Saccharomyces cerevisiae S288C: one gene and its partners. The gene in region 1 interacts genetically with each later gene. Each region holds a gene or a part of one and is shown on either strand. Other genes may lie near its edges.

What was found.
Region 2: mutations in ARN1 (region 1) and HAL1 together harm fitness more than expected from each alone (negative genetic interaction), as found in Saccharomyces cerevisiae (one large-scale study listed by BioGRID).
Region 3: mutations in ARN1 (region 1) and DAN1 together harm fitness more than expected from each alone (negative genetic interaction), as found in Saccharomyces cerevisiae (one large-scale study listed by BioGRID).

What each region holds. Positions count from the first base shown.
Region 1 is NC_001140.6:18,439-22,678, forward strand, and holds ARN1 (siderophore transporter), read right to left. Parts: upstream 2,534-4,240; coding exon 650-2,533; downstream 1-649. Other genes in the region: EFM1 (protein-lysine N-methyltransferase), read left to right, coding at 3,345-4,240. UniProt on the Saccharomyces cerevisiae protein: Involved in the transport of siderophore ferrichrome and so has a role in iron homeostasis.
Region 2 is NC_001148.4:565,223-568,478, forward strand, and holds HAL1 (Hal1p), read right to left. Parts: upstream 1,450-3,256; coding exon 565-1,449; downstream 1-564. Other genes in the region: methylisocitrate lyase ICL2, read right to left, coding at 2,047-3,256. UniProt on the Saccharomyces cerevisiae protein: Involved in salt tolerance.
Region 3 is NC_001142.9:708,159-711,236, forward strand, and holds DAN1 (Dan1p), read right to left. Parts: upstream 1,550-3,078; coding exon 653-1,549; downstream 1-652. Other genes in the region: YJR149W (putative nitronate monooxygenase), read left to right, coding at 1-216. UniProt on the Saccharomyces cerevisiae protein: Component of the cell wall.

The DNA of each region.
Region 1 (4,240 bases):
GCGTTTGCTCGGTGATTACATCATAATTAGTGAACACACGCAGCAAACCGTGATCACTGCGAGTATTCTACTCTTGTCATCCCAGACTACAAGTAAATCATACTATCTCTTTACAAGCTGAATGGAATGGGGCTTAGCCGACTGGAAGGATAGGCTTGCCAAGGAAAAACAAAGAAAAAAAGGCGAGTGGATTTAAGATTCAGCGACCGCCTGTCTTCCCTTCCTTTTTCACCATAGTTGACATAACACTTTATCTTGTCTTTATATCTCTTCTCGAAGCACTTATGATAACCGACTTCAAAGTCAAGGTACATAATTATTCAACGCCTCTAATTTTTCACTTGTTATGAAGCAAGTGCTGAGACAACTGGCCAATCGATGTTATAAACAGGCAGAACAAAAGAAGTAAAGATATTACTCTGTTACGTAATATTAAGTAGTGCCGCACTATACATGTAGATATGCATATACTGTTATGGTAAAAGGAATATGCAAAGAACTAGACATTTCTGATCTTTTCTTTTCTTGGTTATGATCATTAGAATGGTAGAGTCTTGTAGAGAGGAAAAAGTAGGAGGTGACACCGTATATTTTGGGCAATATAGTCATGGAAAGTGATATCAAGCAATCATGCAACGTAAACATCAACTTATTCCCGTTTAAAAGTGAATTTTGATGGAAGTTTTTCAAACCAATCCAAAATTGGATCATTGTCTTTCGTGTCGACATATTCGCCATCCTCGATGTATTCCACAGCAACAGTATCAGTCAATTTAGGATCCCTTAGACATAAGGAGAATGCAATTAATGGAACACAAAATACTAAAGCCACGATAGTTTCCAATCTTTGAACGTATTTGTAAGCGTTCATTAAGGCATTCCTTTGTGGGGTACCCCAAGTATAGGTTTCAATGAAAGTATATGGAGATTCGTAGGCAGTTGTGGCTAGAGCAACATCACCCATTCTCTTCAAAATTTGTTTGTACAAAGTCTGAGTCCAAATGGCACCGGAAACTGCGGAACCGACAGCAGAACCAATTCTATAGAGGGTATAGTTTAAAGCTGTAACTGTCGCCATGTTTTCATGAGAGACGGCAGATTGTACAGAGACGGTAACTGGGTAAGTGAACAAAGTAGTGCCCACACCCCAGACACATAATGCACCAATAATACCTGAATGGGACTGACTTCCACCTCTAAAGTGGTACAATAAACCCATAGCCACCATCCATAGCGCGCATCCAAACATTATGAATGGTTTCAATCTCGTACATCTTGTTACAAGTAAAGCGAAAAATGGAGAGGCCACAGTAGAGACAAATGAAGATAATGTGGCAATTCTGGTTGCAGATTTAACGGATTCATTGACGGCAACAATCATAACCGTGTACAAATAATCAGCGGCCATATAGTAAATAAAATCAATCAGGAAAGAAATACCCATAGAAGACCATACAGCCCTATCTTTGACCAGCCTATATGGAAGAATTGGATCTCTAGCGAATCGATATTCCCAAATCCATAAGATAGGGATCAAAACAAAGCCAAGAACAAAGGGGCCGATCAATCTTGAATCATTCCAGGTAGTTTTGACCCCACCAGCCAAGGTCAGTGGGACCAAGATACAACCTAGGGAACAACCCATCAAAAGGACACCAACGACATCTAACATCCAAAATAATTGCTTTAAGATCTTAATAAAACCATGTTCTTGATAATAGGACTTCTGGCCCTTCAAAGCGTGCCATTCAGGAGTCTTTCTGGCCCTCCATTGCATGTGCAACATACACAAAACGATTGGAACACATGATAGGGGAAAGATGAAAGCCCACATACCTACATCCCAAGACCAGTTGACAACAGGATTGGCTCTGGAAGTGATATTACCAGCAATCCATGTGTTGATGATAAAAGGCCAAGTCGGGACAAATTGATACAGCAGTCTCCACTTTAAAGATGAAAAATCGGATAGGATAATCAAAAGAATAAGGATTACACCCACATAGCCAGCATTGTAGAAAATGGCACCTGCAGCGTATCTTTGAACATCATAAGCTTGTGATTGAATAATTGTACCCACAACATATAGGATGACAGCACTAATGAAAAGGTATAGTCTACCAAACACATCAGACAACCTAGCGTATATGATTTGCGAAGCGGCACTGACCACAGCATTAATGACGTTGATTGTAGACAGCAGAGAATGCTCACTATAGGATGATGTGGCGTAACCAGTGTAAATATAACGGATGTTACCGTCCAGTCCATAACCGTAGCCACATATGAAAGCACTCAAAAGTAAAATCGCTTGTAAGTACCATTTATTGTAAGCAGAGCCAATGATTTCAGTCTGCTGGATAATTAGGCTCCTGTTCTGTCTCAAGGCATTGTATTTTTCAGATAACTGAGGGAGACCATATGAGTCGGAGTTGGAATCGTTATGAGTCTCAGGATTCAACTCGTGTTCCATTCCCATGAAGACATGTTTCTTTTCCTCCTTAACAGGATCGCGAGAGTGAACAGACTCCATTAGTACGTTGCTATGCAGTGGCTTGAACTACTGTCCATATATTTTTAAGAAAGAAAACAAGAGATATAGTGAACGAAAGCAAAAAGAGAGCTATCGAATGTTTCCTCCCCTATATACAATTATTCCTGAAATCTTCAGTTCTATGCATCTTGCATTACTTCATGTAAACTGTACTCCGATTTGCTTGGCCTTTTTTTCTCTTTGACACTATTTTCCTAACGATATGTGCTTGTTATATCACACCTGCTTTTATGGGTGCATTTTGATAAATTTGCAATCCCAAACAGGAAAGAAGTGAAAAAGGCCAAGACATATGTGGCTTTCTAACAAATACAGGCACACAAATTTCGTAAGAGAACAAGTCCTAAAGATGAACGTTAATGATAATATACAATTGTCTTCTCATTTCTGTTGATGGATTTTCATTCGCAGGTGTATTTTTCCATCGCTTCGTGATAGAGCTGCCAGTACGCTTCATCGCGGTCGCTTACATGCGTGATATTTAGGGGATCTTTCATTGGCTTCCGATCAGATAATATGTATCATTAGTCAGCGGAAGTTACAGGTGGAAACCCTCCCCACCTTGATAGTTGTCTTGATTGTATAGGCCTGTAATCTATTACTATTATTCTATTGGAGTCCTGCTCGTTGTTCGTTCAAGGCGAATGTGCCTGCGATGAGTTGACTATGAAAAAGAAAATTTTTCAACTTGAACTTGACCATTCCAACAAAGAAGAAATGATGGAAGTAAAAAAGACTAAGGAATCAAGCTTGGTGAAGCTACCTCGTCATTTAATTAACGAACTTCTGCATGATCACCCAAACTGAGCTAGATAACTGCTTACAATGGGCTCAAAATAATGGAGCCTTCATCGATCCGAAAATCTCTTTTAGGATTACAGAGGATGCTGGTGTTAGTGCATTTGTAAACGAAAAATTCTCTCCCAAACCCGACCAAGCTTTGATTAGGGTACCCGAAACTCTGCTGATCACTTCCCAGCAAGCTTTATCAGAATTTTCCCAGGCTGCTAATGAAAGGAGTCTTTTGAATTCCGTGACACAGTTGTACTTGTCAAAGTTGAAATTTGGCACCGATGCAGTTCACCTGAAATCCTTTTACAAACCATATTTAGATGTGCTACCCTTGCACCTTCCACAACCATATTTTTGGTCTACTGATGAAGTCATGAATTTGCATGGTACAGACGTGTACTTAACTATGAGAGATACGCTGAACAAACTAGTAAAGGAGTGGAGGATGCTGTTCCAAGCTTTATCTATTGAACACTCTTCTCAAGATAAGCAGTTCTTGTCTTTATTCCAGGAGAATAAAGACTCTGCCGTAGTGCCGTTGGAACAGTTCTGCGCACACATCAATGGATGTAAACTAGAAGATTCGGAATGGAACTCGTTCGTGGCGTATCTTTGGTCGTACTGCATCTTTAATTCTAGGGCATTTCCTCGTGTCATTTTAGGCAGGGCCGGTACAGACCGCACCAATCTGAACGAAGGATTTTTGTATCCAATAGTAGATTTATTAAACCATAAAAACGATGTACCAGTAAGATGGGAGATGAATGAACAAAATGAACTTTGTTTCATGTCGCAGACTACCACATTTAGTGCACAGGATGAATTGTTTAATAATTATGGTAATATTTCTAATGAAAAATGTTTGTTAAACTACGGGTTTTGGGATTCCTCGAA
Region 2 (3,256 bases), on another chromosome or scaffold:
ATGCGAGCAGACTTTGTCCATTAAGCCAAGTAACAACAAAAGAACCAAAAAAAGGAAAGTATCTCGTCTCTGTTGAGTAATTCTTATATCTTGCAAGATTTAATTCTCACTACTAATACGGAACTCAATCAAAGTGGCTTAATCCCAAGACATGCATTGAATACGGTATCATTGGCTGTTGACAGTTTAAGAAAAGTAGTTGTCACGTTCCTGAGGTTACTGGGGACAAGGGAAAGTAGATACTCGTCTTACGAAATTGGATATAGTTACTCTCTAATGCTCAATCCATGTAAAGCATGAATCATCTCAACAGAAAAATCTGGGAGAGCATATTTGCAACAAAAGAATCCAAATATCAGTATATAATTATATAAGTGAGCTAAGAAGTGAACAAAAGAAAAGGAAGAGGGGAAAAATTTTGGCTGGACTTGTAGAACGATAGAACGAAAGAGTCCAAGGGGGAAGTAATAAAGTTATTGAACGAAACAACAAAAATTCGATGGAGATATTAACAAATGCATAGCAGCGCAGCTAACCGACCCGAAGCTAGTACCAACGAATTTTTCAACTATTCTGTGTTGATTGTCTCCTTTGCAACACCGAGCTCTTCAGTATTCTCAGCTGAAAGTTATTATTGAAATCACGTTGGGGACTTTCATGATCTAGTGGTCTTGGTGAGTAGCATTTAATATTTTGACCATTGAAAGGGCATCTCTCAATTGGAGAAAGGCCACTCTTAGGGATAGGCGTTTTAACAATCTGTTTATGGGATGAATGATATATTTTTGAGGATGGATTCACGATACTGATATGTTTCCCGTCCGCATTATTCGGATATGTAGTGCCTTCTTTCGATAAAATAGATGCCAATCCTGGCGTATGCTTTGTTTCGATGACGGAGCTTACCAATTTTTCACTTCGTATTTTCGATGAGTTCTTATTTTTACATTTGACGTTCAATATTCCGACATACGTCTCTCTTTCTGAAATGTTGGAACTCTGTGGCCTTGGATTTGGTGTTTTTTCACCCGAAAAATTGTTGATAACTGCACTTTTCTTTGAGGTACTACTATTTATATCTTCCTGCTCTTTTGTTCCCCGCTTAAGATGTTTTGGATGGCAAGTTTCAATAAACTGCGGTTTTATTCCTGCTTCTGAAGAGGTGCCCGAGATGTGAACCTCATTTCCACCACTACCAGTATAAGTAAAGTAGTCCGTACCTTCTTTTCCAAAGTCATTTGAGGAATATACCAAAAAAACACCTTCCTTTACTTGAAAGCGATCCACGAATGGGAAAGTATCCCCTTCCGAAGTCACATCTGAGGGAACAAATTTTAAAACATATGAGATGTTGTTTTCATCCACGGCATCATAAAATTTACAGCAATTATTCTCATACATCAAGTTTTTGAGAGTGTAGTCATGCAATCCTAAATCTTTGAAATGCATCTGATCTATTTGTTTCTGTATTTCTCTTTTCTTGAGTTATATAAACGGAATGATTAGTAGTTTGGCAGAATTTATAGCAAGTATTAAATAGTTGAATACCTCAATATTCTCCATAATAAACGCCATATCGTACATAAAGGCTAAAACAAGAATGCCTGATACCGTTCTGCTTTTTGTTTTATCTTTCCCTATATTTTCTTTCCCTTTTGATGCTTTACGTAATTTTTCCCGGCATATGTGAGCTTCCTAATAGACTCTATTTTTATTTTTCCCTTTCAAAGTGCGAGAGAAATACACACAACCAGCCTACGCTTATTTTCACCCATACCGTCATACGCCATATGATATATAATGTGAAACAAACGCGGGGAAGAGCGCGACACGACAGCTTAGCAGGGGCATTCCACGCAACACCTGAAACTTTAAGTAAAACTGTTTCTGCGAGGATATCTTGGCAAAACAAACACTAACTTTCGAACTAAATATAGTGATCGTGGTCATAAATTAATAAAAAGAGGATAAATAGAGATAAAAGAGATATGTGACTAAGTTGCTGGCAATATGTATTATTTATACTTTTATCTTCTTGAAGCGTATTCAAAATTGCGTTTCGGTAAAGCTCTCACCAGATGTACTTAAAGTTTGGGATGAAGCACCGTTTTGGACAACTTTCATTAAGGAATCAACATATTCTGCACCAGACCATAGCTGGTGTGTCATGATATCACAATTAGTCTCCTTTTCCCGTTTTTGCACTTTTTCGACGTATGCTTTCATTCCGTCACTTTGGAAGCTATTGGCTAATTCCCAGAATGATACTCCATCTGAATGCAGACCGGCAAGGGAAACCAGTTGCAACGTGAAGCCTTCTTTTGCCAAGTCCCATACGAAGGATTTTAATGCCTTATCATCAAAGCCGTGAGCGCTCCAATTGAAACTAGGAGATAAGTTATATACTAGCTTGGTAGCTGGAAGTTGTTTATGAATTTTTCTTGAAAATGAGCGTGCCTGCTCCAGGTCAGGAGTTTTCGTTTCCAGCCAAATCATATCAGAATATGGGGCAAACACCAAAGATCTTCTAATAGCTGCTTCAATACAACCGTTAAACATGTAATATCCCTCTTTGGTCCTCGGAGCATCCCAGTCAAATATAATTTTCTTTAGTGGTGTCACTTCTTGAGCTAAAAGTTTCATTTCTCTTAAGCTTAGGTATGCTCTACCCAGCTTGTTTACCATAAGGTCTTCCTTCTTTTCTTTATAGCTTTCAAACTCGCTTGCCGTAAACTGCTTTTCTAAGGCCTCTTCAAATGTAAACAGCTCATTTTCATGGTACCATTCTTTTTCCATGTCAGCAATGGCGGAGTTGGGAATTTTTTTGTCCTCCATCTCAATCAATTTTTCGCTCCAAGGCACCACGTTATCTCTTATTATACCCCTAATGAATTCGTGGTCTCTCGGATCACTGCTTGAACTCAACAGCTTACCATTACAGGAATCTGTTCTTGCAATAACCAAATTTTCTGTCCCCATGATATCCCATTGAAACCTGGTGGAAATCAATCTCATAAGATGTGTTGCTGTGGGCACCAAAACAGCCCCACTTAGATGGCCACACCTTTTGCCTCCCACCATCTGATCTTCAAGATGAATACCAGCAGCCCCTTTCTCCGCAAACAACTTAGCAACTTTCATTACAGTCGTTGGGCCACCGTGACCCATGTCTGCGTCCGCGATAATTGGTTTTAAATAATCAACAGGAGTAGAACCTTTGATGGAGGCCTCCAAGAAAGCCTTTCGATCGTGCAAT
Region 3 (3,078 bases), on another chromosome or scaffold:
ACTCCTTTTATCGAAAAAGTCATTGCTAATTTTCAAGGTGAGGAGCTTCCTCCATATGGCTACATGTATAGTGCTTTCAAGCAAGTAAGAAAAAAGTATCCAGAATTGGCTAACTTTATTTTAGCTGGACAAGGATTTCAGAATGTCCAATCAGGAATCACAACAGACAAGAAAATTGAAACTATGGGCGCAAGATTGAAAATTGACGGAAAATAATATAAATACATATAAAAGACCTGATACTTATTGACACAAATTTTCTGGATGACCTTTTTCTATATGATATATATACGTCGCTATTGGATCGTAGGTTACTTGGCCATTATTTGAGCGTAACCGTTCACAGGATGTGGGCTTTAAGGAATACAAAATCCAAATATGGAAAAAATTTGATATCAATTTAGGGCTTTAATATCTAAAGGTATTTATTTTTTTCACAGTTTTTTTTCTGTTAAGCTGTCTGCAATAAGGAATGCTCCTGACATGAAATTCGAAAAGGACCGGAAATAGTTGGAGCACAAGACTGCAAACTAAAAAACAAATTTCTTTGGAATTTCCTTACGCTTATAGTATATATCTTATAAATATTAAAATTAAGAGAATTCAATTATTTTACATCATTTATACAACTGTACAGGGCCGCACATGATCACTATAACAATAGAGCGGCGGCACCAGCAATAGCAGCGGCACCGAAAACACCGTTATTGAACTTGTTAGCACCGTTAGTGGTAACGTCAATAACACGAGATGCTGACGATGTGACAGAAGTAGCTGTAGATTGAGCTTTGGAGGAGACTGGCTTAGTCACAGTTGAACAGACGTTATTTGAACAACTAGTTATGGTAGTTTCAACAGTGGAAGCTTGAGTCTTTGTGACGGTGCTGTCAGTACCATTTTGGACCACTGGAGTGACTGAGATAGAAGATGTAGAAGAAACTGGAGCTGTGGTATTGGCAAAACTAGCAGAGCTTGCAACAGAGCTTGCAACAGAGCTTGCAACAGAACTTTCAGCAGAACTTGCAATGGTGCTTGCAGCAGAGCTAGATTCAGATGAAACAGTAGCTTGGGTGGAAGCAGCGTTTGAGCTGGTCTCTGCTGAACTTTCAGAGGAGCTAGAAGACTCAGTGGCGGCACTAGAAGCTTCTGAAGTGGAGGTGGAAGAAGCCTCTGTGGTAGAAGCTGGTACTGCAGTAGCAATACCTTCATTCGCAAGTGCTTCGGAAATAGCACCCATCAATCTAGTAGAGTACCATGGCACACCGGTGATCATTCTGGTCACTTCATCACCTGAAATACCAGTCAACATGGTGGTGAAATCGCCACCGGCAAAAACAGCCTTGGCAATTTCAGGTGGGTATGTTTCAGTCTTATGCAAAGCCTGGAAAGCGTAATATTCAGATAAATGGGCGCCAATATCAGAAACGTAAACAGCCAATTCAATCAAATTGACCCTTTCATCATAAGGGGATAGAGTGGTGGTCACGGATGCGGCGGTTGCACTTGCCACTAATGCTGCGGCGACAGCTAATATACTAATTCTAGACATTACTTGGGGTATATATTTAGTATGCTACACTTTTATCTGAAAAAGAAGAAATAGTACCGTGTCGACATAAAAATAGTATCATTTAGTCGTGCTATTTTATACGCAGTATTTTCAATCATTTCTATTCAATGAGTACCCAGGGACCCTTTTGCATTTCTAGCATTCTCTGTTCCTGAACGATGTTTTGTTAGAGGCCTCGTATAGATCTTGGCATTTTCAAAGGCACGCGTTGTATTGTTTTATTGCCTATCAAAGGAACGCGCAGGAAACATGAAACTTTTCAGAGGAGCGTCTACGGAGGATACATTCATCAATTTTTCCTCATAAATTAAACGATGTGTACAAAAAGGACGAATTGACCCCGTCGTTCGGCGAAACCTTATGTATTTTCCTGGCCATATGTGCTAAACGACAGATAAAATAGGAAATTCTCCCCATTTTCGACTAATAAGATAAGCGGGAGATAGCATCATATGAACTTTTGCACTCAAACGAAGAAAGCACGTGAGGATTGAAGAAAACGGATCGCCGAATCCAGCGTGAATTGAGCTCAACAATTTTTAACTATATCAATCTCTTTCACTTTAAACACTACCACTTAAATCTTTTTAAAACGCTTTGCCCAATGACCCTTTTTTTATTAAGGTTGCTGAGCTATTTTTTCTATACTATTGTCAAACTCCAAAGATATTTTGAGCTTTATTTTCTTGCAAACAAAATACCCTACTGCTTAATAAATGCAATGTATACATAGTTTTCAAGGTACATTATATTTTAAAGTTACCTCAGGCCTGTTTGCCCTTGCATTCTACAGTCCCTTTGTAAGGGTGTGAGACAAAAGGCCTCGTTAGCTACGACTGTTGAAATCGTTTGAATTCGGCTTACAATCTAACTTTGACTGCGCAATTGTTCATGAATTTATAGTGTGCTTGCGAGGGGCAACTTCATACGAAGGCTTGTAGGACCCCTAAGTGCATCCATAAACATGCTCAAAGATTGTCTTAGAAACCACAAGGAGAACGCACAGTATGAATTAAATAAGTTGCGCTCTGCTAGAATATTTTGACGATTACAAAGTCAGAGATCGAAACATTTCCGCTGTGCAACTAAGTAATTTTCCCAATCTTTGGAGAAAATCAATAATCACAAGATTAGTACTTATCCTCTTGTAGGCTTCTCTCTTTCGCTATAAATAGAGCAGAAAAATATGATACAGAAGGTCGAAAGTTTGCTTCGCTGACTGAAGCTTTCTGTCAAGAGTTGACAAAAACATACAAGATTCAGTATTGATAATAAATGGCCTGCACTTAAGACTCAACCATCCCAATAAGTTACCTAGTTGTGTTACCTAAGCTAGGAAAATACACATTGAAAGATGTTTTACAAAGTATTGTAAAGGTACAATGCATTCTAGGCCGAATGTTCATTTCGGATTGTAATATGTAGTCAACGATAACGAACCTCATGGTTATGGTTATTTCTGTTCCAAATTTGCAAAATAGATCTTCATTGTCGTTGTCGGAACGGGT